Callithrix jacchus: one gene and its partners. The protein of the gene in region 2 interacts with the protein of the main gene of each other region in a pairwise test. Links are inferred from orthologs where the notes say so. Each region holds a gene or a part of one and is shown on either strand. Other genes may lie near its edges.

Region 1 (8,228 bases), on a different chromosome or scaffold from region 2:
ATCTAGCAGCCTGGGATGACTCCGCCTGCTGACCCAAATCTGCCAGCCTCCATACAATACCCCAACCTCCCTCAAACCCACGGTGGAAATCTGAGCATGCGATACAGGCCACCCCTGCCTGGGCCTCACAGGCCTGACAGCAGTGGCAGGACTCTGTGAACGTCCCTCTTTTGGGGAGAGGTCTTCCTCACTAGGACTCCCGCTCCTGCTCCGGCTCCGGTTTCCTCTCCAGGCAGAATTAGAGCGACTCCCCCTTCAGGGCCAGATGCTCTCCTCCCTGAGACCTTCCAGGCGGAAATGAGAGGCACCTTAGGCAGATAGCTCTGTCTGGTGCTTCAAAACGGGATGAACTCTGTGTGGTCTTGTCTGCTGGTGGAGTCCCCGCATAACACGTAAGAGTCCTACAGTGATTCTTGTTAGAGTCTCAACCTCTTCCCTCTGTGAAACTGACGCTGCCCCAAGTAGACGGAACCAGTCACCTCCCTGAGACTTTCCGGGCAGAAATCAACCTGCCATCCCCGCCTGGGGCTTTTTGTGAGGCCTCTTCTTAACCCTTAGTCCACATTCAGCCTCTCACCTTGACAAGTGAGCAAACCTATAACTCCACCCTTTATTTACCTGAACCTGCTCCTCTCACATAAAGGTCCTGTTTTCCTGAGAATTTGGAGTTGGAATTCTGGATGATCCTCATATGATCATAGTTCTTTTGCAACCTGCAAGAACAGATAGTAAGGACAGGCCTCAATAGAGCTCCACAGTTTTGCTCCTCGCCTTTACATGTATCAGAACCTGGGACTCCTCTGTTTACTGAACTGAGGTCACCCTCCTGAAGGGTCTAGATGAAACCTTACATTTTGAAATGGTTTTCACCCTACTATTCATTCATGAGGGTTCTCATGTTGGCTCCTGTCTCTTGATCAATGTCTTCCAGGGAAATGTCACATCTCTGCAAAAATTTGATCAATTTCCTCTTTGCAGAGCTTGCAGAGAAGAGGTCCCTGTCCCAGAAGTAATGTGACATTGGGAAACTGAAATGGAAGGTGGAGAGCCTAGGACAGATACTGTGCTCTCAGGGGAAAAAACATGCTGATCTGTTCTTTCACTTCACCAACCAAAGGGTATTTCTAAAAGACTTACTTTCTATAGAAAAGGGTGAAGCCAGATGATTTTGCAATCTTTCGATCTTTTGAAGCTATCTGATTTTGCTTCTGTTGATGATCATATTGTCACCGAGTATTATTTCTTTCTGTCTTTAACTTACATGTGTCAATTATTTTGGTATTATCCTTGCTCTGGTTTTGTATTCCAATCAGTGTTTGGGGCATAGACCTCTTCTTTGTTACCTGAGATACACTTTGGGTTAGCAGAAGAAAATGAATTAAGCAACTTGTGGTAAGCTTCAGTTTGGGAGGAGTGGAACAGTGTGGACTCTAGAGGAATTCAGATCAGCAGTCTAGTTTCAGCCCTATCACTTACTAGCTGTATGAACTTGGGCACATTACCAAACTCTATGAGCCTTAGGCTCTGCATCTGTGAAATGGGCTTGATAAGCCTTGTGATGTAGGACTGGTGGAATGTGGTTAACATGTGCAAAGCCCTGGAGTGCATTGAGACTTTAAACAATGCTTATTACTATGATTATTTCAACTACAGAAGAAATCATCTGTAGTTGATTCAGAAGAAATCTGCTGATTTTTTTTAAGCCCAAGTGATAACAAAGAATATACAACATTCTAAGACATGAAACTACAAATCAGCCCAAAATGCAGCTTACAAAGAAACTCTAAGTATCTTTTCCATACTGAATCATAGTTTGAGTGTGGAGTTGTCTTTCTCAGCTGAAAGCAACTGAAACCTTCTAGGGTTTGCTTCAAAGACCAACTCTAGCCTTTCATACAAACCACCCTTATATTCATTTATTTTACCATCACCAAAAATCTAGATGTCCCTTAAAACTTCCAAAACACATGAAAGAAAAGAAAAATGAATGCCCTTTTAATGGAATGGATTCTGGCTCCCCAGCTGATGGCAGAGTATTAGCCCAGTGGCATATGAGTTTCCAGTCTTAAAGGAGTAACACCTTTATTTCTCAGAAACACCCCGGGGACTATGTGCATAAAACACCTAATCTGTGTACTGGATTCACTTGCGCTGGGACAAGAGCACAGGCCATTTTCAATCCCTACCCCAGGCAAAGATTTCCTCTGTTTTTTTCCACAATTCCAAAGTAACTTTTAAGGGCAATTTTTCATTCCAGTCTCTAACTCTCAACTCTGAGATCCATCATCTGAGTGTGTGACCCCCCTGCTCGGTGCGCCCCATCTAGTCACTATGCAGCAACATAAAATTACCTCCTACTGCAGTATGTTCAGTTTCCCAGAGTCTCAATTACCTTGCTTAGGACATTTACACTAGATTCTTCCCCTAGAAACACCCCCACCTTCTTATATCCTCTTTTCAACTGTCTTTAGGTCTTAGGGACTATCTCATTACCTTCATTATGTGATAGCTGCTGTTGAATTCTAAAATTCTATGGACAGGGTTTTATTTTTTTTTAATTTTTATTTTTTTGCTTATCCAGTGCTAGCTAGGAGCCCTCTGAAGAGTAGCTGCTCAATTAATATTAGGACAATTAAAGTGCAAGTGAGCCGGAAGTCAAATGTATTGCTATTTAATTTCTCCCACATTCCTGAGAAAGCTAACCCAATCCAGATACATATACTTCAGTTTTACAAAGAAAGACTAAAAGGAATAAAACAAAGCAAGAATTGACCACATTTTACTTTTTTTTCTCTATTTCATGATCCCACCAACTTTATTGCTAGGTAATTTCCTTTTCACAAATTCTGTATTCTAATGTCATATTGTCTTGTTCTAGATCACAGAAAAAGATTTAAAGATTTTAAATTGTTTTACATAATGCAAAAGTTCTTGTTCTTCAACCTGACATATTTTAATAAATGAGTTTTTCATGCCATTCATAAACTTAGATTCTGAAACTAAATAATTCTACAATTAAAAGAAAGAACACTGAAAAACAGGAAAATGAAAAGATAAATCATTTTACATACAAATATATTATATATGATGTTCCCACCAACTCCTCTTTGGCCCTCTATTAATTAGAAGGTTAATATTTTCTTTAATTAAAAGTAAAGAATATACCTCAGACTTCACAAGGAGTGGATGACACTGTTGGACATCACACTGGAACATGCCAGGAGCAGTTGCAACACTGTCTCCCTCATCTCTCAAAGTCTTCTCTTAATAGAGGGAAGACAATGGGGACACTGTCATTGACCTTGGCCGAAGCCTCCACATTCTTAAATAATCTAAGCAAACCAGGTATGTAACTTTCAAATTTATGAACAACAAAAGACTAAAAGTAGTAAGATAAATCAAAAATAAAGCAACTTTTGCTTTTCTTCTCTTTCTGTCTTCAGATTCTTCTATTTTACTGTGGCGTTATTTTAAATTTCTAAAAATAACCTTACTCCAACGCCATGTTATTTTGCTCTGTATCACAAAAACGATTTTCAGATTTTCTATTTGTATTTCAAAAACCAAACTCTTATTACTAAACCAACCTGATAAACAGAAATAAGTGTGTGATGCATGCCATTTCTAAGCTTATATTCTGAATTTAAATAACCTTTCTATTTTAAGAAACATCACAGGAAAATTCAACAAAGAGATATATCACCGAGTTATTCATGCAGCACAGGAACAGCAGAAGGCAGCAGGTCTTTCAACTACAAATTGAACAATTTGCCTTAGATCTCACATGGGGTGGGAAGAGCTGCTGGATGTGTCCCTTGAATGTGCACTAGTCATGGCAGTAGTGCCACGCCTGGCTGCAACTCTGGGCCGGGCTTTGGCTTTCTCTTCTTCATCTCTCAAAGCCTCTTCATAAAGGAGTGGGAAGTTACTGGGGATGGTATCATTCACCTTGGCCAAAAACTCTAGGACTTTCATCTTGCTGGTTTCAGCATAGGCTCTTGGACCCCACAGGAATTGATAGCGTGGGGGATCACTGTTGGGCACCTGCTTGTACTCCAGATATTCTTCCTGCACCAGATCTTGGGAGATAAGCTTTCGGGCATCCCCAAAGATGATATGCCTCTTACCATCATAGATCCCCAAAACATTCAGGAATTCCCAGATTTCCTCTTCACTGGCACAGTTGCCACTTAAGAAGATCACACTCAGTAGAGGCATCAGAAGCCCATTCCTTGGATATTTCCAGGAACTGCTCTCGTTTCCATCGTTGGTGGGATTCAGCAAGCTGACAATGGTGTAGGAGTGACTGGTCGGGTTGACTTCCTTCAAGGAAAGGCCAAAGACCAGCTCCATGCGCTGAGAGGCTCTGCTGAAGATCTCAGGGAAGTGCTCCTTGTACTTTTTGCTGATGATCTTCAGCATTTCTGCCTTTGTAGTGGGCTCTTTCATTTTATACTTGTACAGCAGGAACTGCACCAACATCTTCGTCTTCCTGGTTATAGGATCTTTGATTGAGCTCTCAGTGGATGTTGAGGCCTGGAAGGAACTTGCCTTTTCCTCACCTTGGCTCTTGTCACTTTCATCAGATCCAGTGCATGACATAGCTGCAGCACCAGTGGTGGGTAGTGCTCTCTGAGGCCTCTGCAGAATGCCAGCAGCAGGGGAGCTGGAGGGAATATCCCCCAAAACAGATGAGGAAGAGGAATGAGACTCTTCTTTCTCTGCTGCAGTGGCCTGAGCAACCTTGGTATCCTGGGTCTGACCACGGGTCCGCTGGCGTTTCTCACGGGCACGGAGCTTACTCTTCTGACCTCGAGGCATGATAGCTGTGATTAGGCACAACAGGTAGGAGAGTAGCCAGAAGGGCAGGTGATATGGTGCCTGGAGAAGAGAGATTGAGATCCTGAGAACACCTTTAGTAGGCAGATACTACCTTGGCTTTTCAGAAACCGTCTCTGCAGGATTCCTTGAGAACACTGCTCTAAGTATTGACTGGGCTATTGTTCTTCGTCATTCTGTCCCCTGAGAACTCAGCTGAGGAAGTTACAATGTGCCTTAGGCTGCAGCTTGCCAACCCTGCTGGGGGCTGACTGGGTTCTCTCTGTGTTCTGGCTTGGAAAGGATCCACTCTGATTACTTTTAGAATTATCCTGTCAGCTCTTGGCAGGGCCTCAGCCTCCTTCTATTGGTGTTGTGAAGTAGAATCTTTAACTTTCTATGGGACCCAGATGAGGGAAATGTAGGGGCACCTCAACCCACCACCCCTGCTTCGAAGCATTTAGTGCTCTCTGTCCTGGGATCCTCAGGTCCCAAGTTTGCACTCAGTTTCCTCATCTGGACTCCATGCAGGGTTGTGGACTGTCTCTTCTGATGACTAATAACTGCGACTTCAGACCAAGAATTTCACCTTTTCTAGTTCTGACATAAAATGTGATGGGCATCTATGAAAAAAAAATTGATAATCTGGGCTTCACTAAATTATAACTTCTGCTCTGGTAAAGATACCACAAAGAATAAGACAACTCCCAGATTGGGAAAAATTTATTTTCAAAAGACATATCTGATAAAAGATTGTTAACCAAAACATACAAAAAATTCTTAAAACTGAACAATAAGAATGGACCAACCCTATTAAAAATGGGCAAAAGATATAAATGAGCATCTCAACAATAATATATACAGAAAGTAAATACGTACATGAAGTGATGCACAACATCACATGTCATTAGGGACTTGCAAATTAAAGTAATGTGAAACCACTCCATACCTATAAGAATGGTCAAAATCAAAAACTCTGATAACCCCAACTACCGACGAGGATGTGGAGCAATAGGAGCACACTGTCATTGCTGGTGGACATGCGAAATGGTACAGCCACTTTGGAAGACAGTTTATAAATTTCTTACAAAACTATGTGTAGTCTTATCATATGATCTAGTAACTGCACTTCTTGTTATTTAGCCAAATGAGTTGAAAAGAATGTTCACAAAATAACCTGCACACAAACATTTATAGTAGCTTTATTTATAATTGCCTAAACTGGAAAGCAGCCAAGATGTCCTTCAGAAGGAGAGTGGGTAAATTAAGAGTATAAAATATTATTCAGTATTAAAAGGGAAAGAACTATCAAGCCACAAAGAGACATGGAGGAAACCTAACTACATATTACAAAGTGAAAGAAGCCAATGTGAAAAGGCAACACAATGCATAATTCCATCTATAGACATTCTGGAAAAGGCAAAAGTGTAGAAACAGTACAAAGTTGAGTGGTTTCCAAGGGTTGGGAAGAGTGAGAGATAAATACATGAGGCACAGAGAACTTTTAAGGCAGTAAAGCAATTCTGTCTTAAATTGATAAGGTGATAATGATGTGTCCCTGTATGCTCAATTGTAACAAGTGTATTACCCTGGGTTGGGAGGTTGATATGAGGGAGGCTGTGCCTGGGAGGACAGGATGCCTGTGGAACTCTCTGTGCTTTCTGCTCAGTTTTGCTGTGAACATTAAACTATTCTGAAAAAAGAAGGTCAAGTATTTAAAAAAAAGTGATGGTGAAGCCTCAGCCTCACATGTTGCCCTGGCAATTTAAGATTTATGCAGGGGGCTAGAGTCTGTTGTCCTCTCTATTTAGAGGTGAGCAGCCCCCTCAGCTCTCACTTGTTTTCCTTTATTTGGCTCCTGGAAGATCCTGAGGCTCCCCTCCTTTTTGACCTCAAGACCTCTCTGTTTAAAAGGCCTGTACCTCCCTGAGATCTGATAGGAGGAGGAGAGGGTGGCCTTATCTGGCCATAACTGACTATGGTCTCCCAAGAGTGGCGGCTGTGGTAGCCAGGTTGAGGTCTTATGGTGGATCGTCCTACTCAGGTCCTAACTCAGGATCCTAAATCTGACTCACAGGAAGGCTTAATATTCCTCCCCCTGCTGAGCTGGGACTGCCCACCTCAGAACAAGACCTTCACTTCTCTGTTACTACTGATGATATGAGGGTGCCTCTGTCTGACATTCATGCCTGAATCTCTCAGAGATGACAATAGGGAGGATTCTGTGGGGTCTACACTGATAGGGGTTTGGTGGTTCCTGCACCCTTCAGGGTACTCACTTTACTCCTGGCACACCTTAGGAATCCTATCTCTATGGACCTGAGTCAGCTAGCCTGAGATAATGGTCTTTAACTTCTTAAGACCTCCGGAGTAGAAATTAGGTTCAGCTACATCCTGTCAAGACTATTGGGGTGAATGCTTCCCTCATTCTTTATTCAGGGTCCTCAACTTGGTACGTGTCAGAGAATGGGACTCCTCCCTCTACTGACCTGAGGTCCAAGAACTCACAAGTCCCTATGAACTTTGAAGAATAAGTGAGGAGATGCTCAGGCTAAGAACTGTGTCTGGCATGTTGCTCTGCTCTGTCCTCCTATATGAGGGTCTTTTTCTTGGTTCTTGTCCCTTAATTAATGACTTCCTGGGAAATACCACATCCCTTAAAAGTCTTGACCAGTTTCCCTACAACAAATCTTGCAGACAATGCATCCCTGTCCCAGGAGTGATGTAAGATGGGGAAGCTGTAACACAAACAGAAGCCCCAGGATAGAAGTCATACTGTCAGAGAAACACATTGATCTATTTCTTCTCTTTACCAGTCTCTTATGTATTTCTCTTGGAAAGTATTTAACTTCCTTAAAAAATGGGGGGACTGACCAGAATGACAGAATGTGAGCCCATGATCCTTTGAGTTTATATGTATTTGATTATGCAATCATATTGTCATCAAATATTGTCTTTCTCTCCTTTATTCACACGTCTCAGTCATTTTGGTGATTTTGTTGCTTTGGTTCTGTATTCCAGTCCAGCAAATTGGGCACAGAATCTTATAACTTGATGTACATTTGGGAGCAGTGAGAAGAAAAGTGAGTAAGGGGACACAGTCAGTCTCAGGTTGTGAGGCATGAAGCAGAGTGTGCTTTACACTCATTCAGACTAGGGGTCTTGCCCCAGTCCTGTCACTTACCAGCCATGAAAAAATTAGGCACATTAACAGACTGTGGGCTTCAGACATTTTTTCTGTGAAGTGGGTTTGATAAACTCTGTTTTGTCGGACTGGTAAAATGTATACAATGTATATAAAGTATTTGAGATGCATTGAGACATAAAATAGTGCCAGTTCTTATTATGATTCATTTGTCCCCTGACATTGCCATCCACTCCACTGGGTCTTATTTTTCAGTGCAGGAGAT
Region 2 (7,377 bases):
TAAAAATAGAAGTGACTAAATGAGCTCAGCTCTGGAGCAAATCATACTCAGCATTATCCTTCACGGTATCTGGTGCATGGTAATACCCGGTAACTATGTGCTGAAGGAATGCCTGCGTGCTGCGTGCACAGACATAGCATAAAGCCAAACCAGGGCATGCTGCACCAACGATACAAAATCCCTGACTTCCAAACTCTGTGCTGCCAAGTCAAGTCAGAATTAAGGCAAGACTTGTTTTCATTTAAAAATATATTTATTTATTATTGTACTTTAGGTTCTGGGGTACATGTGCAGATCATGCAGGATTGTTGTATAGGTACATACATGGCAAGCTGGTTTGCAGCCTCCATCTGCCCATCACCTATATCTGGTGTTTCTCCCCACATTATCCCTCCCCACCCTCCCCACTTCCCACCCCCTGCTGTCCCTCCTCTAGTACCCCCATGTGTTGCTCCCCTCCCTGTGTCCATGTGTTCTCATTGTTCAACACCCACCTATGAGTGAGAACATGCAGTGTTTGATTTTCTGTTCTTGTGTGAGTTTGCTGAGAATGATGGTTTCCAGATTCATCCATGTCCCTGCAAAGGACACGAACTCATCTTTTTTTATGGCTGCATAGTATTCCATGGTGTACATGTGCCACATGTTCTTTATGCAGTCTATCGTTGATGGGCATTTGGGTTGGTTCCAAGTCTTTGCTATGGTAAACAGTGCCGCAATGAACATACATGTGCATGTGTCTTTATAATAAAACGATTTACAATCCTTTGGGTATATAGCCAGTAATGAGATTGCTTGAAAAGTCCTACAGAACATTCAGAGGTAGATCACATTTAACTTTGCATTTTAACCCATGTCCTTTTATGAAAAGAAGAGAATTATATAAATTGGCTGTCTGGTCGCCTTAAAGCCCACAACTGCTTCATTCCACCACTCGCGCAGGCAATCTCTGGCAAGAGAAGAGCCAGCTCATTTGGTTTTACATCACTGGGAAGGGCTCTTCTCTGGTAATGACATACTCTGCCTTCAAGAGTTGATATTTAACCCCTCTCAGACACTGATAATGACACTTTAAATGGTCAACACAGACAAAGCACTTCGCAACAGTTTGGGTAGCAATGAGCTCAGGGTAGGGTAGCTGGTTCCGGGAACTGACTTTCATAGCTGTCCTTCTGTAAGTCTTGTGCTAAATAAACGCAGGTCTGTCTCCTTTCCAAATCACACTGTGTCAGTGACCCTGTGTGTGAGAGACAGGGGCATCCAAGGCTTACATTGCAGGATCTCCCTTTAAAAGGCAGCTCGGAGCCACTCGAAGGAACACAGATGAAACACTCAGGTGATGTGACACAGCAAGAGTTGATCTGCAGCCAGAGCAATCTAGGTCCAAGTCCTGGCTCAAACACTTCCTAATTGTGTATCTTCAGTCAAGTGATTTAACCTCTGTGAGCTTCATCTTTTAGAAGCAGTTATGATGTCTGCCCTATAAGAGCTGTAGTGTGGCTCTCTGTTCTCAGAGGGAAGAGACTGCCTTTAACACCAGGCAAGAGAAACCACTGTTGTATAAAACTCCATTTGAAAACCATAAGTTACTTTCAAATGTTTATTTTAACAATCAAAGAAAAGGAAAGCAAAAGCAGGCTCCAGGTGATGTATGTGCTGCTGTTGGTAGTAAGGCAGGAAATCTACCAGGTACCGTCAGGAGACTGGGGCTGGCCTGAAGCAGGAGACTCTTTCCTAAGAAGCAGTATCTCCAAGGGGCGACATCAACACAACAGGTCCCGTGTTCATTTGCTTCTCTTCTCAGAAAACGTCACCTGTGTAGAGGGAACCTTCTAGCTCAGATCATGAAGAATAAGAAAAAAAAAAAGCAAGCCAGTTTCCTGAAAGATTTCTGTTCTTGCCTCATAACATAGCCTAACCTAGTCAATCAGCTTCAGAGAAAATGGCTTGGTAGCATGAGAGAGTCTTCCAGAAGGACACACCTTTACCACCAGGCCCACATTTAGCATTTAGCACCACAAGCTGGAGCCCCCCACATGCAACCAGACAGTTCCTTCTCTAGGAAAAGGAGGCTGGCTTGAACCATGCCTTTACCCTCACGTCGATGGTCCACATCTCATCCATTTCTCTTTGTTGCATTTTCTCCAATGAAGCTACAAGTCGTGATGAGGAGGGAGACCAAACTCAGAGCTTTTTCCAGTGAAAAATAGCTGGTAATCGCATTCAGAAATTAGGAGCACAAATGGGCCTAGTCTGCATTCACCCAAGTCTCCAAATTTAAGTTCTGCAGAGATCATAATGGCCCTTGAAATGACCGAGTGCCTCACAAGACTTAGAAGATTCTGCCCCTTCAAGCAAAGTTTTCTCATTCTTTGGCCTAATGCAAATACTCAAATATAGTTTGCTCTGGGAAGTAAGTTATTACGTGCACCATTTGTTTCTGATTGAATTTAGATGTTAGAGGAAATTTATTTACCTGCCTATAAGAAGAAGCCTGAGGTCATGGGTGGCCCTTAAATCTGGCCATGTGGGTCAGCCCCTGCACTCCTTAAACATTATACAATCAATATTGGCTCTGGGTGAGGATTTTTGGTGTGCTCTCTCCTTTTCAGGGTATTTTTATTTCTGTTATCTTAGAATTCATCACAGACCTGGGATATAAGTATGAACAATAACATTATCTCTGTTTCGTAGCAGAAAAAAATGCTGAGGCTTAGGCGTGTGAAGCGATGATTCGAAAACCCCGTAAGTGAGAGATAAAGTCAGGACTAGAAACATTCGTTCTTACAACAGATATTTATTAAGCATCCATTATGTACCAAGCAGTGGGCGAGGCTCTGGAGATGCAGTGTGAACAATTGCTAATCTTGAGTAAGCATTTTGATTGGGAAAACAGTAGATACAGAGGCAAGTTCAGCTGTTGGAGGTGCTAAATGAGCAGGACAGTGTCGGGTGTTGTGAGTCCTTTACACTGAGAGTCAAGCAGGAGCTCTCAGAAGAAGGAAACTTGCAACTGACCTGAACATTTATAGTGAGGGGGAAGAGCACCCCAGAGAGAAGATGAGCAGGGACAGGTCTCCAGCCATGTCCAAGGAACAGAAAGGCCAGCGTGGCTGAATCATGGTAAGAAAGATAGAGAGTAGGAAGAGAAGAGGTGGAAGCACATCAAACCTAGCAGTTCTCCACCTGTTAAATCAACAGGTTTCAGTACTTCAGGAGGAAATACTAGGAAAAAAAATGAAGTTGTTGTTTGTATTTTAAACTAGGAGAATTAGATAGGGACAGGGGTTATAGCCAGACAAGTCTTGAGAGTCGGAATTTATAGAGAAAAAAAAGAGACATTTCTTATGAAAGTTCCTTTCACATAGCAAGAAGCTATGTAAGCCATATGTAAGAGGCTGTTTTGCCACAGAAAAGGAAAGTCTAGTCCTTTGTCAAAGCTAGAAACCCTGACGTAGAGAGAACTCAGGATTTGATACCAGGAAATGTTCTACTTAATCAGCGTCCAAGGTAGGGAGGCAGAAGGATAGAAGGGAATTAGAAAAGAAAGGGTCAGGTACAATTCCGGTTCTATTTCCCGCTCCCTGATGCCATAATCCAGGTTGGCAATGTTAAAAACAACCCAAGAAACATGGCGAATCTCAGACAGGGAAGCCTGTTCTTCACTTCCTTTGTCACAAACTATAAAGATTTTTCAAGTTAAAGTTGGTGTCCTTGAAGTGCAAGTGCAATTTTAAATGATGCTGTACTCCCACTCCAGACACTTTTTCAACCTTACATCTCTCCAATCCAGATATTCGGAGCCACCATGGGTGGTTGGAATCCATCCACTGAGGGCATAGAACTCATCTGGGAAAACCAGAGCTGGAAAGGAGGGATTTCACATCAAGATTCCACTGTCCCTGGTGTCTCATAGCCTTTGGACAGGCCTATACATACAGAAAGTTAGAAGCCAGATTTTCTAAAGGTATAACAAGCATCTCTCTCTGGGTATCCCTTGCCTGAGCCAGCCCCCACGGGTCCACAGGCATTCAGAATCGGCTTCCGGTGCTGGCTCCACAGGTGGTGCTGGGGCCACAGCTTGGACAAGGAGCACATGCGGCAGCCACACAGGAGGGAGGCGTGGAGCACGGATTACAGGGGAGTCTGCAGAGAGAAAACGTGAGTGAAGTGAGAAGCAAGGAATGAATGGGGTCTCAGTGCCACGTGGGGGCATGAGGAAGGGGTCCCCACTGCAAAACCAGAGGACATGGACCCTGCTGAAGCCTGTGACCATTAGCACCGAGTGAGCACCTCCAGGGTTAGACTACATAGGTGATTTCTAAAAGGTCTTACATGATTAAAGGGATCCTATAGAATAAAAATTCCTAGGAAGAATTTAAGAAGAGAAAAGCACGTCCAGAAATTGGATCTACTGCCGGATCAGTAGTCATGTCTCCTGTTTGAGCAGCGACCCCGTGTCTACTCTCATCAGATCATGGCTACCTCAAGCAGCCCCCACGGAGACCTGGTCATGTCCTCTAAGCGGATGGTCATTCCCTTCACTCTGTCGACCATATAGAGGGTGCAGGACCAGGCAATGACTCACGGAAAAGGAGTGCACAGAGAGCCTCGTTCAATGGAGAGACAGCCCCTCTGCTGCCCTGAGGACCTCATGAGAACTGGGTCAATGATTTGGCCAGGAATTGCCCAGATCACACGTACTTGCAGTCCTCACTCTCCAGAAGGTTCCGGTACGTGGCAATCTCATTCTCCAGCCGGGCCTTCACGTCCAGCAGCACCTGATACTCCTGGTTCTGCCGCTCCAGGTCAGCTCGGATCTCAGACAGCTGCTCCTCCACGTTGCTAATGAGGCTCTGCATCTGGGCCAGCTCCGTGCCGTAGCGGTCCTCGGCTTCACACAGGGAGTTCTGCAGACAGTCCTTCTGTAGTGGGAAATAAGGGGATAAAATACCCAAGACCCCCAGAGAAACTGCTACATGCCCCAGATTTTGATGGTGGTAACAGTAGCTAAACATGCTGCATTGCCAAAATTCACCTAGCCCAGGGCAAATTCCAGGAACTCATACCCCAGAGCCCTTGATAAATCAAGTTGACAGTGAACAAGTCTTTTCCCAAACCAGCACTGCCCCCAAAATTTAATTGGCTTCACGTTATTCATCTCTATATTTGCAATACCCCCAAAAAAATTAGAACTCAGTAAATTTTGGTGCATTTAATGCCTTTTCTTAAATATGTTTTAAAAGAGAGATTGTTTTGTTAAGCTGTGTTTCTGAATTTGACCTGATCTTTACAATAAAGACAAAAAAGAAATTCACAATCAACGAGTTTGCAGATGGGAGAAACCTAGATAGTGAGACCTACAAAATTAAATGCTATCAGGCCGTGGCACGTGGCGTTTGCAGTGCAGTGAGGGTGAAGGACACGTACCAAGGTGTGCTGGGCTTGGCGCTCCACCTCCAGGGCGTTCACCGTGCATCTCAGCTCCAGGATCTCCGACTGGCAGCACTGAATCTCCTCAGAGCAGGACATGGCCTGCAGGCTGATGCCTTCAGACTGGAGCACAGAGAGGCACAGTCACCTCCCTGCCCAGATGGAGGCCAGATGTCCCCCGGCTCTGTACCCCCTGCTCACCTGGGCTTGGAACCACTGCTCCGCGTCCTGGCGGTTGGTCTCCACCATGGCCTCGTACTGAGCCCGCATCTCCCCCAGCACCCTGCTCAGGTCAATGGTGGGCTCAATGTCCAGCTCGATCCGGATCTTGTCCCCTAGCTGACTCCTCAGAGTCTTTACTTCCTGCAGAAGGGAGGAAGGCACAGACAGTTTGTGTGAGGAGAGGGCCTTTGATGGAGCAGACAGCACCAGGACCCCACCCCTGGCAAGCAGTAGGAGGGGAGCCCCATACACAAGCAAATGGGAAAGTCTTGCCCAGAGTGCAGTCGGGAGAGCCCACCTGGATGCCTTCCTTGTGCCCAAGGCAAGTCTGCACCTTCCACAGAGGCCCTCTGAACCCTCAGACCCACCTCAGCCCTGCATGCTGATGCCAGCTGAGCCCAGGTTCTGCTCTGAGAGCCCCAGGGCCAGGGAGCTCCCCTATCTGCCCAGCACTGCCCGCCCCCCACACCAGGAGTCTGAGCGGCCAGGGCTGTACCTGCTCATGGTTGCTCTTGAGAGAGAGCTGCTCTTCCTTCAGGGACTCCTGCTGGGCCTCCAGGTCGGCCTTGGCCAGGGTCGCATCATCCAGGAGCTTCTGCGTACCACACATGTCCGCCTCCACCAGCTGACGCAGGGAGCGCTCACTCTCCAGCCTTCAGTCACAGGAGGTGCAGGGTCAACAAGAATTCCACCAAGAGCCCCTCTCGGCTGCCCCGGGTTCCCACCTCCCACACCACCTTGGATCCTCATTTGTTCACTCTGTTTAGCTCTCTGGCCTCAAAGGTGAATTAGACACAGCCCCTCTTCTCAAAGAGCTGGTGGTCTGATGAAACAATCACAGCACTACATTGCACAATATACATTTTTGCCATTGTATTCTGTGGCAGCTGCGGTTCACTAAGATCAACTGAGTTGCCTAAGATCGTGTGTCTTGGGACCCAGTCCAATGCTCATTCCATTGCAGTGGCCGTCAGTTACCAAAGATAAGCAATAGCCAGGTGCCCGGTTGTGATCCACAGCTCCTTATCCCTTGCTTTCAACTGTCTTCCCCTCTGGTTTTTTCCTAAGTATCTCATACCTAGTACCCTAGGACTGCATAGTTAAATCTGGACGAAGACTCATCTATGACTCCTCTGACTTATATATGAAAATGAATGGCTGTCTTGCTCAGTTTATCCTTGAAATCACCTCATTTTGCTCCTGGCTAATGAATTTAGGCTGCCTCCATGTTAGGGAAATAAATGAAGGAGGAAAAACATACATGGTTGGATTAATGAAGGGTTTTCCCTTCCATCTTCTATCCATTTTGATTGTAATGAAACTTTTACTGGGGAGAATCTAGCAAGGGAGAAAGGACAATGATTCACTCACTCAACAAGTATTTGGGCATTGGGATGGAGGATGGGGAAGGAGTCATCCTGGCCTCCTGCACCGGACTTACTTGATCCTAAAGTCATCGGCAGCCAGCTTGGCATTGTCGATTTGTACAATCAGCCTGGCGTTCTCAGCCTTGCTGCACAGGATCTGAGGAAAACAGGAAGATGGTTCACACACAAAGCATCGTACCTTAGGCTCCCACTCCACGTGTGGTGTCTATGCTCATATCCAAGAGAAGCCAAGAACCCAAAGCTCCCTGAGCCTGACATGGATTCCTCCTGCCATGAGAAGCCGTCTGGCTTCTCAGACCCAGCACGCCCAGGCGTTCCCACACCTCACCTTCTG
Region 3 (8,229 bases), on a different chromosome or scaffold from region 2:
TCCACCTCCTCAAGCGATTCACCTGCCTCAGCCTCCTCAGTAGCTGGAATTACAGGCACCTGCCACCATGCCTGGCTAATTTTTGAATTTTTAATAGAGACAGGGTTTTGCCATGTTGACTAGGCTGGTCGTGAACTTCTGACCTCAGGTGATCCACTGCCTCAGCCTCACAAAGTGCTGGGATTACAGGCGTGAGCCACCGTGCCTGGCCAACAACTGTTTCTTTGTAGTAAACCCAGAATTGTTCTCCTAGACCACCACTGTTGTCTACCATAGCACATGTGATATAATAAATATGTATGTCCTTGGTCTTTGTCCCTAATTCCTGACACAGAGCTTCTAACATGCATCAGAATCTCCTACAGAACATACTGAAATGCAGACACCTCTCAGATAATAGGATTTAGGAAGTGCAGGGTGTGACTGAAATCTGTGCTTAGAGAAAATGCCCAGGATGGTGTGGATATTGGTGGTCTGTAGATTACATTTTGAGAAACATGGGTTAGAAATTTGACCTATTGGTCTAAATCCTGGCCCCTGAGAGCTGATGGCTTAGATTGAAAAGGTGATTTGGGCATCAAATGACACACTCATATTAAGCTTGTAATTTTAACTTAAGATGAATGTCCACTTATTTATCAATTTTGAGGTAGGGCTGTGGTCTTTGTTTTGGGTATGTATTTTCTGATTGGAGTCCAGAGGTTTTTTTTGTTTTGTTTTGTTTTATCTTTTTTAAAAAATATCACAGGTTGTTGAGTTTGTGTATGTGCGTGTGTGTCTGTGTGTGTGTTTAGCAATAATGCTAGAACCTAAATATACTTGTGAAACAGCTTGACTGGATAATTCTCTAGAGTTTTCCACTTTCCGCCCAGTCTTTGACAGATACTCATATCTAGTTTGACAGTTGTTTTTTGCCATTTGCTTGCATTTAGTCTTTCAAAGCACTAAGCATAATTTGCACAAGCAGTTTTTTGTTTTCATACATATATTTCATCAGTTTATGTAACATCCTGTTGATTTACACAAAAGCAAGTGCAATTGGAAAGAAAAGGTTTGTGCAAAGAGCTGATTCTTGGTAAGCTCCACCTTGCTAAATGGGAGCAAGTATTTGTAGTCCTTCTAGAGAGTGGCTTGGTAGACCTGTGAGTCAACATGTTGTGGGCATCTGTCACTGTGTTTTACAGAGACCATAGTGAACATCAGAAATCAATTCGGCTAGTCAGTCTGGTGTCAACCAATTAAGAAGTTTCTTGGCCGGGCATGGTGGCTCACCCCTATAATCCCAGCACTTTGGGAGGCTGAGGCAGGCAGATCACCTGAGGTCAGGAAATCAAGACCAGCCTGGCCAATATGGCGAAACCCCATCTCTACTAAAAATATAAAAAATTAGCCAGGTGTGGTGGCGGGCACCTGTAATCTTAGCTACTGGGGAGGGTGAGGCAGGAAAATCACTTGAACCCAGGAGGTAGAGGTTGCAGTGAGCTGACATTGTGCCATTGCACTCCAGCCTGGGCAACAAGATTGAAATTTCGCCTCAAAAAGAAAAAAAAAGAAGTTTCTCTTGTATTTGGAGATAGGCTGATTTAAATTTTCAACTTTTAGTTTATCCCTGTTGTAAAAACTGTCCATGAGGTCTATGTATTACTTACTTAATCAGAACCAAAAGAACAATAAAATCATTATTTTTAAAAACTTGAAAGCATCTCTTTCCTCATCTAAGTCTGTCTTCTTCCCATGACCCAACCTCTCCATTTGTAAAATGGGTTGTATTTGTTCCTCTATGCCTCCCAGCATGCAAGGAAGGTTGATTCTCATAGAAGTGCAACTAACTGTTCCTGTGAGGGGACTGAGGCAGCTGCAGAACAGAAGCTTTACGATGTCCCCTCTGGCCATCTGAGAGGAGTGGTGGCACTGTGCCTGCTTATTGTGAGCTGGCTATGCAGCCTTGTGACTAGTGACCCCTGATCTCAAGGGAGGCTGGTGGCTGCCTGTTCTGCCTGGGTGACCTGATATCTCATCACTTCCAAAAAGAAGTGCCAAGCTGCCACCCGGGTAGGTGGTGAGCTTCAAAGAACTGAGGGGAGCTCTCTCTCTTTGACTCAAATCTGTTTTGCTGAACCAGGGCAGGGTGCTAGTTTCTTGCTAAGGCTGGGTCGTCTCAAACCTGCTCTCCAATGTCTGTCATGTGCATCTTTATCTAGTTCTTTCTCTGTCACATCTCATATGTTATATAACCAAGTACTGATATCCTATGGGAAGCATATTTTACCCAAAGGGTAATTACACCAGTGGTGGAATTTCTATTCTCTTGGATTGTGAATAATAATTGAATGTTTTATTTTTTGCTTTGAGAGCTAGGTTGTAGATGGATTTAATAAATTAATCTGTTTCTTAAGAGAACATGACTTCTGATTTGAAATTATCCAATGTCCACCAGGTTATGTTGCCCAAAATTTGTCTTTTTGCTGCCATATTTGAAAAGCTATTTAAAATTACGATTCTAACCAATTGAATTGATTCTAGTCTGATTTTAGGTAAATGAAAAGCTCAAGATCAAAATGTGAAATGGCCAAGTGTGAATAATTGGTCCACGGACTATGATTTACCTCTCTCTCACCCCAGCAACAGATACACGCTTCAACTCATATTTCTGAAACACACATCTGAGTGTGATGCACCGTCAGAGAGAATGTGGGCTTTGGGAACAGAGGCACATAAGATCGAAACACATCTTGCTTAGTCAGCAGTGTGTGACCTTAACAAGTTGCATTTCTTCTTGAAGCGTCAATTATCTCATCCGTAGAACGGCCCTACAGCTTTTTCGGGGTTGCTTGAGATTAACGAAATATCAATAAACACCACCTCTCAGTTTCCTCAGCCCTAAACTCAGGAGTCATCCTTGACTTTCTCCTTTTCTCTTTGTCACCAGCCTCAGGTCTGCAGCGCTGCCTGTTGATTTTACATTGGAAACAACTTTCATCCATCCCCACCCCTCTTCTCTGCTGCCATGTCCCTAAACCAAGTCATTGCCATATTTCATGTGGATTGCTATAGTAGCCTCCTGTCTTCTTGCTCTCTTGTCCCTCCGCAGTCTGTTTTCCACCCAGGGGCCAAATTGGTCTTAGCAGATGCAGAGCAGATTGTGTTATCACTTCCTTTGCAGAAGTACCCAGTAGTTTCCCATTATATTTAGAATGAAATCCAAATGACATTTTCAGCCCTACAAAGCTACACCATTTGGCTCCTGCTTACCTCTCCAACTTCATTTTGAACCTTTTCCCCATGCTCTTGCTTCCCTGACCTTTTCCTGTTTCTGGAGCACACCAAACTGGTTTCAGCATCAGGGCCTTTGTTGCTCCAAGTGGCTGCTCCTCATTGGGCAAGGCTTAGTTCAAGCATTCTTCCCTCCAGGAGGCCTTCTTGGTCACTCAGTCTAAAGTACCTCCCCTTCTTTAGCCTCTTCTCAGCTTCTCCTTATTTCCTTAGTAGCAGTAATTATTGTCTGAAATGACCCTTCCTTGTTTGTTTGTTTATTGCCTGTCTCTTTCCAGTTAGACTCTAATCTCCACAGTGGAGATGGCCCTTCTCTGTCTTGTTCACTGCTATATCCCGTGTTGCTTAGCAGATATCAGGCACTTGAAAAACATGTGTTGAATGGATGAATGACTATTTTATGTAAAAAGTAGTGTAGATACAGTGCCTTAGACTTGGGTGGCTAATTTAGTTTTCCATAGAAGCTGGGGCTCTTTCTCCATCAGTCTAGTGTTCTTTGATCACCATAAAAACAACTTGCTCATGCCTGTAATCCCAGCACTTTGGGAGGCCAAGGTGGGCAGATCGTGAAGTCAAAAGATCAAGACCATCCTGACCAACATGGTGAAAATCCGTCTCTACTAAAAATACAAAAATTAGCTGGGTGTGGCAGTGCATGCCTATACTCTCAACCACTTGGGAGGCTGAGGCAGGAGAGTTGCTTGAACCTGGGAGGCGGAGATTGCAGTGAGCTGAGGTCACACCACTGCACTCCAGCCTGGGCGACAGAGCGAAAGTCCATCTCAAAACAAACAAACAAACAACAACAAAAAGCAACTTGCTCAGACAGTCTCTGACACCGAGGTAGACCAGATATGCACAGAGACTAAAGTGATAAGTACATATTCCTTTTCTCGTTTGTGTTGCTCCTCTGCTTCCTTCATCATTTCCTGTGCCTGCTCGAGCTTTGCATCCACCAGCTTCTGCTGTAGTTCTCTGTGCTTAAATATTTTGTCCAGATGCTAAGAAAAATAGAGCATACATAGAAAGTTTGGTTTATTATTGGTGCTTAAAAACACAAAATAAATTCACATTAATACATATTCTCCAGGTTTTAAGATTTAAAAGAAGAGAGGGATAAATGCACTGGCATCACTTACGGCTTTATACTAAAGCTGTAGATTGGTGAACCACCCCTCCCCCCAACTTTGCACCACACACACAAAGGTAGCTACAAAAGGTAGAGGCACCAGAGTTCAGCAGTATCAATGCCAAAAGGTCGATACAATATTTTTATAAATGTGGTAACTATTAGATATGATGCTATTTATTATGCTAGACAGCACAGACAATGATGTTTCAGTATACAATATACAGGGGCTGCAGTTGTATCATTCGGTATTTTGGGTCTGTCTGTGAATATAAAACCACTTTTAATCACAACATTAGTGCAATTTATCATGATGCATTCTCCACGTTCTCGCCTCCGGAGTTGTGAGAAAGCCTTGGAGTGCCTGCATGTGGTCTGAGGTCTGGGAGTGAGACCTGAGCCCTCTGAATTCTACTCTGTTGCTCTGGTGGGGATGACAAGCCAAGGGTCACAGACAAATCGATTTGCCAGTGTCCAGCGCTCGCCACAACTTTTGACCTCTAGATTTGTTTGGTGAAGAGAAACCTCCAACTCTTCTTCAGTATGAACAACTTCCTGGTTGCTGGGAGGTCCCGTCAGAACAGGACATGGAATTCTACCCTTGAACCAGTCCCAGGAATATACAACCAGTATACCAGTCCATTCCCATCTGAGATCTCTCTGAAGTGTATGGACAGTTTCCTTTCACTCCTTCCTTTCTTCTTCAGTCTGAACCTCCATTCTGGAGCTGGATTGATCCTCGTGACAAGATAAAATGGTAGCATGGCATTCTGGCTTCCTGAGAGGAGTTTCTTGATTTACCTAACCACTGCGACCATATGCTATTGGCTCAGTTTTGTGCTTGATAAAGTCTTAGCATGTTGCCAACAGAGCCGCTTTGACTGTGTTATGTTACATTTTAAAGCAGAGATTTAAAATTTGGGTGGGATAGGGAAGGGCATATGATATATCAAAATCCCAAGAGGTTATCTGGAATCTTAAAAACACAGTAAATATTAAAATATAATTTTGGGATAACAAAAGACCTTGATTGTCACCCTAATATAACCTATTCAAAGTAAAAGGCTTTTGGCTCTTGTGACTGTGGGTAAGTGGTTTAATCTCTTAGCTTCTGCTTCCCATCTATGAGATATGGATACTATATTATTATCTAGTACATAAGATTGTTGAGGCAATTAATGCCATATGGTATGTCAAGTACAGCACTTAGCACTTTGCCTGATAACCAACTAAGCACTGAATAAATGACATCATTATTATTACAATGATTACATTATTATACGATTATTGGTCTGGTGGGGTTCGTTGAATACAGACTTAATTTAGATGACATGGCAATTCTTAAGAGTGCATGAGTTATTTTTGGCTACACAAGAGGGTTTTTAAAAGGCTGAGAAATATTATTTTCAAGGAAAACTTTGCCCACAGCCTATCACTTTCTATTTATTGCCTTTACTTTGCAGTGATGCCAGTTTTGAAGAAATCCCATGTGACTTTCAGTCAGGTATTTTGTAAGACCATCTGTCTTCATTCTGGCTAGTCAAGGAAATCCAGTCCTAAGTATTGATCGGTTGAGAGGGCTGTCTTATTAACCAAGCTCCCACCTTCACCACCCAGATCCCGATCTGTGTACTGTTCTAAGTTGTTTGATGTGGTTCTCACCTCCTCTCTGAGCTCATACTGATCGATGATGCTTTTCAGCTTTTCTGCAAGCTCTGTGTTCTCCTGACAGAGCTTCATATTTCGCTCACTCTGCTGCTCAATCTGGCCCTGGATGTCCGTGAGGGTACTCTGGAAATGACTTGTGATTTCCTTCCTTTTCTCTTCTTCCTCACGTGCCCGCTGAAGGGCCTCTTCCTGTGGATAAAAAGCAAAACATTTTGTTTAAATGCACCCTGGGTTTATAGAACTCAGGATTAGGTCACCAAAAGGAGATTAGTGTGCAGAGTAGGTGGGACTTTTTTTTCCTCAGTTCTCTAGAACGAAAGCTGCTCAGCCCCAAAATAAATGTATGAGTAAAGGTTTCAGCTGTGAGTACATAGTTACTCAGAGCAGGTGCTGTGAAGGCCTTGAATTTGTAGTCGGTGATGAATAGACTTGTTTTAAAGATGACAGGGCTCTTGCTGAGTGAATGAACGGCAGTGATTTCTAACAAACACACAGTCACACGATTTTGATCTCTTGGTTGTGGCCTGAGAAAACAGCCCCTTGAGTTTACTGATTGATGAGACAGATCATGTGTTTCTTTGGGTTGGTAAAGGAAGAATCATAGATCTTATATTTCCCTATAAAAACATGGCATATTAACCACATAATTGTATTACCCAGGTTTTGTAAATATAAGTGATCACAATAAAAATTTTCTCTTCATGAGAAAAAAACTTTCATCAAAAACCTTTTAAAAAGGAAACTAAGATAGCATAGCTCACTTACAGCCATTCAAGAAGATAAAAGGGAATATTTCCAAATATGCTAGATATTATTTTGTTTTTGAAAGAACAATCATTAAATGTGTCACGAAGGGTAATTAAAATGTTCAATGTAAATTTTGAATCTGAAAGCAATATTAAGTTTCAAATCTTCTTTAACTCTAAAGTGAAACATCTAATTTTCCTTCTTCTGCCTTGTTAACATTGAAGAATTGCAAATTAACTTTTATATCATTTCTGTTCTCTTTTCTCCTAGATCAAAACTCTCCATTCATTGCTAACCACTGACAATGAGCTCCAATTTCCTTCATATCTATATTGGGAATTGCTTTGTGATTGTTATTCTCGTTCTTTTTGAATAAAAGGGTTTAATCTTGCTACATCCTACCAAAGATAGAGACACTTATGTGGCTGACAAATGATACAGACATTTTAGGATTCCTTTCGGTTCTGATGAATTGTTAATATGAAAGTTTGCTTTGTTGTTGGCAAGTAAAATTATACTGCATTTGATTGCCTACCAAGTTCAAATTATGTAACAGGATTTTTAAAAAGAAATAATAATTTTTAACAGAAGTAATTGTACAGACCTTTATCATAACAGAATAATGTGATCAAAATAGAAACTGATGCTGAAAGTATATGCTCTAAAAATATTTTAATTTGCTGGGCACGGTGGCTCACTCCTGTAATTCCAGCACTTTGGGAGGCTGAGGCAGGCAGATCACCTGAGGTCAGGAGTTCGAGACCAGCCTGGCCAACGTGGTGAAACCCCGCCTCTACTAAAAATACAAAATTAGCTGGGCACGGTGGCACACACCTGTGATCCCAGCTACTTGGGAGGCTGAGGCAGGAGAATTGCTTGAACCCGGGAGGCCGAGGTTGCAGTGAGTGTAGACCTTGCCATTGCACCCCAGCCTAGGCAAACGAGAGCGAAACTTCATCTCAAAAAGAAAAGATTTATATATATATATATTTAAATTTATCATTAGGTTTCTTCTTTTGTCTATAATAACACATTTTCTAACTCTAATGTGACTCCTGATGTCAGAATCATAACTTATTCATGTTATAAACGTTTGTTAAGCAACATCTCAGGGGTATTGAAGATATCTGTACTTCCTAAACTGAAGAAATAAACTATCCAAGATGTTATTTTCCCTGAACTTTGTATACCAACCCTTACTATATGTGTTTTGCTAAAAATAATTATGGCTACCAGCTAAGATCAACTAAATACATATGTATGATTGTGATTGTTTCCTCACTGGTCATGATTAGCTTGGAAGTCAGCAAGTTTGGAATCAGAACTACAGACCATGATTTGAATTCCATTTGCATTTATAAACATTCTGTGAATGAATGAATGAACCATCCCATGCAAGTCTGAGGTTTTTT
Region 4 (8,229 bases), on a different chromosome or scaffold from region 2:
TACAAGTAACTAAGAGGCATGTTTAAATGCAGACGTGTACTGTTATGTGTGATATTATTACATGAGAGTATGATGTCTTTGCTTAAGGAATTTCAGTTTGTCATGGCAATGCATATGGTCATTAAAAGCTCTGATGGTTTTGCCTGACCCCAGCAAAGTCTCTCTGCCTATGGCAGGCAAATCTTCCACTTGCGCACGCCTAGACTTGGCAAATGTCTCAGGGAGGGAAAAGGCCACCCGTCTCTGCTCACCAGGAAGTGATGATGCCTTTGTGGAATTTACTTCCTACTTGCATATGTCTGTTAAAAATATATGATTGTTAGTTTTTTGATTATTTTTCTGGCTGTTATAGCAGAAACCACCGTCCGTTACAACATTTTGTATTTAGAAGTAGAACTGGTAAGATCACATCATATATTATGTTTATGAGTCCTTCCTTTCTATGGTACTTAATATAGATTTACTTGCAGAAGTGAATCTATGTCTGTTTTGGGTGTGTCTTTTAGAACCTATCTTGTGATTTAAAAAAAATCAATGTATAATCCTTTTTGAGCTCAATAAGAAGTATTAATTTATATGACAAATTATTCCTTCTATTTAGGTTACCTTACTATTCAATATTAAGAGGAATGCTTTGATGATTCAGCATTAGAAACATACTGAATGGATTAAATTTACTTACTACCACAATTACCAAAATTGGTTATTAAAGGCAATGATACATTTTAACCCATTGTTTACAGAAATCTGACTGAATGGTTATTTGATCAATAAACAGGAATTGTTTTATTAGTACAGGCAACATTTGCTGGTTTTAAGAGTCTCCTACTCTAACCCACAGCCAATATCATACTTAATGGGCAAAAACTGGAAGCATTCCCTTTGAAATCTGGCACTAGACAAGGATGCCCCCTCTCACCACTCCTATTCAATATAGTATTGGAAGTTCTAGCCAGAGCAATCAGGCAAGAAAAAGAAATAAAGTGTATTCAGTTAGGAAAGGAGGAAGTCAAATTGTCTCTATTTACAGATGACATGATTGTATATTTAGAAGACCCCATCGTCTCAGCCCAAAATCTCCTGAAACTGATAAGGAACTTCAGCAAAGTCTCAGGATACAAAATCAATGTGCAGAAATCACAAGCATTCCTATACACCAATAACAGACTTAAAGACAGCCAAATCAAGAACTGCCATTCACAATTGCTACAAAAAAAATAAAATACCTAGGAATACAACTAACAAAGGAGGTAAAGGACCTCTTCAAGGAAACTACAAACCACTGCTCAAGGAAGTAAGAGAGGACACAAACAGATGGAGAAACATTCCATGCTCATGGTTAGCAAGAATCAATATCATGAAAATGGTCATACTGCCCAAAGTAATTTATAGATTCAACGCTATCCCAATCATGCTACCAATGACCTTCTTCACAGAACTGGAAAAAACTGCCTTAAACTTCATATGGAACCAAAAGAGAGCCCGCATAGCCAAGTCAATTCTAAGCAAAGATAAAAAAGCTGGAGGCATTATGCTACCTGACTTCAAACAAGGCCACAGCAATCAAAACAACATGGTACTGGTACCAAAACAGAGATATAGACCAATGGAACAGAACAGAGGCATCGGAGGCAACACAACATATCTACAACTATACAATCTTTGAGAAACCTGACAAAAACAAGCAATGGGGAAATAGGATTCCCTGTTTAATAAATGGTGTTGGGAAAACTGGCTAGCCATGTGCAGAAAGCAGAAACTGGACCCCTTCCTGACACCTTACACTAAAATTAACTCCAGATGGATTAAAGACTTAAACATAAGACCTGGCACCATAAAAACCCTAGAAGAAAATCTGGGCAAAACCATCCAGGACATAGGAGTAGGCAAGGACTTCATGAACAAAACACCAAAAGCATTGGCAACAAAAGCCAAAATAGACAAATGGGACCTAATCAAACTCCACAGCTTCTGCACATCAAAAGAAACAGTCACTAGAGTGAATCAGCAACCAACAGAATGGGAAAAAATTTTTGCAATCTACCCATCTGACAAAGGGCTGATATCCAGAATTTACAAAGAACTCAAACAGATTTACAGGAAAAAAACAAACAAGCCCATTCAAAAATGGGCAAAGGATATGAACAGACACTTTACAAAAGAAGACATGTATGAGGCCAACAATCTTATGAAAAAATGCTCATCATCACTGGTCATTAGAGAAATGCAAAGCAAAACTACATTGAGATACTATCTCATGCCAGGTAGAATGGCAATCATTAAAAAATCTGGAGACAACAGATGCTGGAAAGGATGTGGAGAAATAGGAACACTTTTACACTGTTGGCAGGAGTGTAAATTAGTTCAACCATTGTGGAAGACAGTGTGGCAATTCCTCAAGGACCTAGAAATAGAAATTCCATTTGACCCAGCAATCTCATTACTGGGTATATCTCCAAAGGATTCTAAATTGTTCTATTATAAGGACACATGCACATGAATGTTCATTGCAGCACTGTTTACAATAGCAAAGACCTGGAACCAACCCCCAAAGGCCCATCGATGATAGACTGGACAGGGAAAATGTGGCACATATACACCACAGATGGAAACTACTGTTCCAATTTCTGAGGTCATGACCCTCTATAAGGTTCTGGAGCATGACAGTCCAGAAGAGAATGGAGAAGGTTTCTATACACCTAGCTGCTTCGTCTCAGAGGTTGATCCCCTTTTCACCTGAGGAAGGCTCTAGCACAAGGCTGCAGTGCTCTCCAGGATCCTCTGCCCTTTCAGTGGTGCTTGGTCACTTAGCACAGGGAGTGCCTTCTGAGAGAGAAGTGAGCCAGGGGCAACCAGATACCTCACTTGGAAACACAGAGGCAGGTAACAGTTGTCTTGAGCATCTTCTGACTGGAGTACAGCTCTGACCCTGCATAGAATTAGCCAGGCAGCCTGACACTGGGTTCTGGATTGCCCTTGGCTAGTTGGAAGTGCGGGCTGCTGATCATCTATATCTATGTAATCTGATCTAGTCCTTCACTGTTATAGTCTGCCATGACACACATCATCCTGGATCCGACTCTTTCAACTGGTGAAGATAATGATCCACTTAGCCCCATCCTGCAGTGAACCCTCTATCTCTTCTAGAACTGGATGGCCTAGTCACTTCCCCAGGTCAGGCTGACTGATGACTCACCCAAACAAGACCTTTCTCTTATCTTGGGTTAGCAAAATGAGACTTAAAAACATTACAGGACTATAGATTTCATAACGGGCTTGATGCATTTGAAAATTACCTTTTCTCTGTTATTTTTATTTTCTTCTTCTCTTTTGGCAGCAAAAACAACTTCCTCAAATATTTTTACTTCAAAAGTTAGCACTAAGCTTTGAAAATGAGAGGGTAGTTTACAGCACTCACCTCTAATAGAAGCCTTTGATGTAATGCTTGAGTTTGAGTGAGTGCATCCCAGGACACTTTCAAGAGCAGTTCCATCTTTTTTAAATTTCGAAAATCTCGTTCTTTCTCTCTTTGCTTACGAGAAAGTTCATCATGGTAGTTCTGCTTGTCGATGAGGCTGTTGCGTAAATTGAGATCCAAGATCCCTCTGTTCCAGGTAAAGGAAGAAAATGAAAGTGAATTTGTCATCAGCTGTCCAACATGTTTTTCAAAACTTATCAAGACAGCATGCTGAATATTGGCTCCTAATCTCTTCTGACAAAGACCTAAAAACAGAACTACCATTTGACCCAGCAATCCTATTACTGGGTATATAGTCAAAGGAATATAAACCATTCTATCATAAAGATACAGGCACATGTTTGCTCATCACAGTGCTATTCGCAATAGCAAAGATGTAGAATCAACCTAAATGTCCAGATAAAGAAAATGTGGTACCTACACCATGGACTATTATGCAGCCATAAAAAAGAATGAGATCATATCCTTTGCAGGAACATGAATGAAGCTGGAGGTCATTATCCTTAGCAAACCAATGCAGGGACAGAAAACCAAATACCACATGTTCTCACTTATAAGTGGGAGCAAAATGATGAGGATACATGGACACATAGAGGTCAACAACACACAGTGGGACCTACTGGAGGGTGGAGGGTGGGAGGAGGGAGAGGACCAGGAAAAATAACTAATAGATACTAGGCTTAGAACCTGCATGACAAAATAATCTGTACAACAACCCCTCATCACACAAGTTTACCTATGTAGCAAACCTGTATGTGTGACCCTGAACTTAAAAGTTTAATGAAAGACAGCATGCTCAGTATATGCATACATAACTATTCTTATGTTGGAATCATAAATCATAAATAATGCCCAAGGCAACTAGGCTTGTGAGTTGGCATCACTTAGAACTGCAGTATTATAACCACCCCTTTTGAAAATAATAACAGATTGGCAGACATAGAAGCCTCCAGTTTCCCTGAAATTTTACTTAAAAGCAAGACATAAAACTCTCATAGGGAATTACACCATGACATTGCTTCTATTAGAAAAAATTCAAGATGGCCTCAGAAATATCATTCGTTTGTTGGTAAAATCCCGGAACTAAACATAACATACTCCAGTGGCATGATTTTCCAAAGACACATTCCGAAATTTACAACAAACAACAGATTTTGTCTTGAAAATTTAGTAACAGAAAATTGAGAAAATTTATGAGTATGGAAAAATACTTCAAAGTGCTTTATTTGATAATATATTTATTAATGATAAAAGCTGATTTAAAATTATTTAAGAATATTTATTGACTGAATACCAAAGTGAGATTATGTTTTGAATTCTCAAATATAAATTGAAGAAAAATTTAGTTGACAGAACATACATAAATATAACTAACCTTTCAGTTAACAAAGTTGCTTCATTTTCTCTGGCTAATTCCAATAGCTTGACCAATTGGTTATGTTCTCGTTCTTTGATTTCAAGTAAGGCTCGTTTGCCTTCAACTTCCTTTATTACATCTTCCTTCTCCCCCACTACAGCACTAATCTTGTTTTCAACTTTCTTTAGGGAGTCATTTAGCTTTTTGACTTCATGTTCCAAGACAATTTTTTTCTTTTCCATTTCTCTGTAAGGGATACACACACACACACACACACACACACACACACACACACGTTTGCCTTATATTGAGGCCATTCTGGCTTTACCTATTCTTGTTCTCTAACCAGGCAGCAGAAGAGATCGTCATAAATTCAATGATCTCAGCAGTGGGTAAAGACCACAGATGAGTGGGACTTGGAAGCTATCTCCACTGAGTGCCACAGAAGGCAGGCATTTGTCCAGGCTCCCTCTCTGCAGATCCCAATTTGCTACCACCTCCTATGATTCAACCCTCATCCTGACCCACCTCCTGGAACTGACCTGAGTTTCTCAACTTTGGTGTTGGTGAGCCTGGTTTTTCACACAGTTACTAGTGCCTGCCTAATTTTTCCCTTTTCTCTTAAGATTAGTCACCAGAGTAATCATATTATTTTTTCCAGAATTTTTTTTATCTTCAGTTAAAATCTTTATCTATTTTGGTTCCTCTAAACACTGAGAATTTCCTCAATGACCTCTGCCTCCAAGTCTACTCTGAATATCTGAGAGGTGTTATATACATGAAAGGGTGGCAAAGTGGGGAGTTACCATTATTTAGGCTTGGAGCTGCTGTCTGGCTGATACACTTCTAGACCATGAAATTCTAACCAGTTCACATAACTTATCCCATGCACAGCTCTGTTAAAGTCAAATGAACTTCTCCCTAAAAATGTGATTTATAAATTGGCAACAGAATCTTGACTCATAATTAAACCATAAATATTACAAATTATAGTAATTTGCTGCATTACTTTCTTTTAAAAAACTTGATATAAACAATGTAGATAGGGCCAAAAGCAGATATTTCTAAAATTAGAATAGTAATCTAACATGTCTAGTGGTTAATACTCTTATTTTAATGTGCACATATAACTTGGGCTATGAGGGACTCAAAGTAAAAACGTTAAATCATACACTTTTTTGCGTGTTGTTTTTTCTATCTCTTTTCCAATTTGTACCGGACTGGTTTGATGGTGGGCCAATTCATCCTAGTAAATAAATGAAATCATGTTAAATTATGCAATCTTGGACTAGAAGCAATTAAGAACACTAAATATGAAAGTGAAAGGAACTACAATATGTAGATACTTACCATCTGCCCTGTGTACCTTAATTATCCCATTTATTACTCACAATGACCTCATAAGATAGCTGTATTTGTTATCATTTTGGAAAGGAGGCAACTAAGTGTAACAAATACCATTCCTCTGCCCAGATTCCTATATAAAGGCACAGACGCTCCTCTACATACAATGGAGTTATGTCCTGATAAACCCATTTAAATTGAAACTCTCTTAAGTCAAAAGTGTATTTAATACACTTAACCCACTGAAATCATAGCTTAGCCTAGCCTACATTCTCAGGACACTTATATTAGTCTATACTTCACCTAACACAAAGCTTATTATATAACAAGGTGTTGAGTGCCACACAGTAAATAATCATAACTTATTGAATACAGTACAAGAAATGTAATTTATTCAATACTGAAAGTGAAAAATGGAATGGTTGTATGGGTACTTGACATATTCTTTCTACTAAATGGATATTGCTTTCACACCATTGTAAAGTAGAAAAATCATAAGTGGATCACCATAAGCCAGGGACCGTCTTCCCACCCATCCCTCAGATACTGCAGGGGTGACTGCTAATGGTTCATGCTCAATCTCCTCTCCATTGGATTGTGATTGGCTGAGCAGAGCTTCCTTGTCAAGGAATAGGAGATGGAATAGGAGCCAGGGGGTGGAAGGAGGAGGGGAACAGGTTGCGACCAATTACCAACTGATGTGATTTAACAGACACCCCCTACCACCACCTCTGGGTGCAACAGCTTCTGTGATGCAATTCATGACTGTGTGAGTTCATGGGATTAGGCTGAGACTAGAGTTCTCCCGAAGCAGCTGTATTCTGGCCTAGCTTCTTCCCAGTTCCATCCTGCTTCCCTCTATCTCTTATAGGATTCTCCTTGGAGCTCTCCTTCCATTAGTAGTGCTCTTAGGCTCTGTTTCTGGGGAGCCCTGCCTAAGACACATGCTACAAGAAGTTAAGTAAGTTTCCCGAAGTCACATAGCTAGTAAGTGGCAAGGCCAAGATCAGAAGCTAAGTTTGTCTAACATCACATCCCCCATTATGCTCTGCAGACTCATAGGAGGTTCAGTTCCAGTCTCAAGAGTCTTACATACATGGCAAGGGTCATAGAACAGCCCCTTCCTGCCTGACGATGTCATTGGACTTTGGAGCCAGGGGTTATTTTATTTTATTTTATTTTCCAAATGCTCTGTGTTTATTTCATTCCCTCTGTGTGCTCTGAGGTAGGACAGATATTTTGCAGATACTGAGGCCCTATGATTTGAAGGTCACCAGCCTTCAAATCCAGTAACCAAGGTATATTGAACACAGAAGAATCACTAGCACTGAGGGCTTTGTGAGAATCAGAAATCATTCTCTATCTATGAGAAGGAACTCCCAGGCATGACTTGCTCTGAGACAACAGCTTCTAAAGTTCCTCCATCAGATGGGTGTGAGTGGGGCAGGTTTCTGTATCTTCAGTTTTTCCACCAGTCATCTTCATCAAAAAAATACCAACTACCGTCAATTACCATCTGGGGCTTGAGCAGTTGCACTTCCTCCAGCAGCCTCCTGATTTGCACAGGGTACTGCCATTTCCATAGCCCAATTATTTGTAGATTAGACGTGGGACATGCAAAGGCTGAACACAGCTTCCTCATTCTGGTAGGACTGAAGTTATTCTGTACCAGGTTTAGGCTGGCCAGGTGCCAGTTGCAGGAAAGGGCCAAGGAGAGTTCCTCACAGCAACCAGAAGTCAATCCACATGCCTTCAACCCCAATCTCCTTAGAACACTTCTCCTTTGCTTTAGCCCCTCACACAGTGCAGTGACCCCGACGTCACCCACGGCATTGTCCGCGAGATCCAGGCTCCTCAGGTATCTGCTACTCATGATCACATAGGACAGACTCACAGTATGCGGCAGTGAGATGGCAGCTGACCAGCTCCAGGTCCTGGAGATGACAAGATGGTTCTCTCATGACCTTGTACAGAAGCTTCACATTGCTGTCTTCCAAGGGGTTCATGCTGAGGCTCACGTGAATCAGCCATGCATTGCCCAGAAACATAA

What was found.
Region 1: the proteins of keratin, type I cuticular Ha8 (region 2) and MAGEB4 interact in binary tests that used the Homo sapiens proteins (3 or more experiments, as listed by UniProt). The link is inferred for Callithrix jacchus from reciprocal best matches to the Homo sapiens genes KRT38 and MAGEB4.
Region 3: the proteins of keratin, type I cuticular Ha8 (region 2) and TXLNB interact in binary tests that used the Homo sapiens proteins (3 or more experiments, as listed by UniProt). The link is inferred for Callithrix jacchus from reciprocal best matches to the Homo sapiens genes KRT38 and TXLNB.
Region 4: the proteins of keratin, type I cuticular Ha8 (region 2) and CCDC146 interact in binary tests that used the Homo sapiens proteins (3 or more experiments, as listed by UniProt). The link is inferred for Callithrix jacchus from reciprocal best matches to the Homo sapiens genes KRT38 and CCDC146.

What each region holds. Positions count from the first base shown.
Region 1 is NC_133524.1:31,132,746-31,140,973, reverse strand, and holds MAGEB4 (melanoma-associated antigen B4), read right to left. Parts: upstream 4,958-8,228; 5' UTR 4,822-4,957; coding exon 3,781-4,821; 3' UTR 3,228-3,780; downstream 1-3,227.
Region 2 is NC_133506.1:91,821,939-91,829,315, reverse strand, and holds the end of keratin, type I cuticular Ha8, read right to left. Parts: coding exon 7,372-7,377; intron 7,180-7,371; coding exon 7,097-7,179; intron 6,309-7,096; coding exon 6,152-6,308; intron 5,797-6,151; coding exon 5,635-5,796; intron 5,557-5,634; coding exon 5,431-5,556; intron 4,926-5,430; coding exon 4,705-4,925; intron 4,147-4,704; coding exon 4,032-4,146; 3' UTR 2,778-4,031; downstream 1-2,777.
Region 3 is NC_133505.1:146,036,752-146,044,980, forward strand, and holds part of TXLNB (beta-taxilin), read right to left. Parts: intron 6,260-8,229; coding exon 6,065-6,259; intron 4,275-6,064; coding exon 4,155-4,274; intron 1-4,154. UniProt on the Homo sapiens protein: Promotes motor nerve regeneration. May be involved in intracellular vesicle traffic.
Region 4 is NC_133512.1:72,896,303-72,904,531, forward strand, and holds part of CCDC146 (coiled-coil domain-containing protein 146), read right to left. Parts: exon of another isoform or gene 7,343-8,229; intron 6,082-7,342; coding exon 6,008-6,081; intron 5,082-6,007; coding exon 4,854-5,081; intron 3,606-4,853; coding exon 3,419-3,605; intron 1-3,418. UniProt on the Homo sapiens protein: Essential for sperm flagellum biogenesis and male fertility.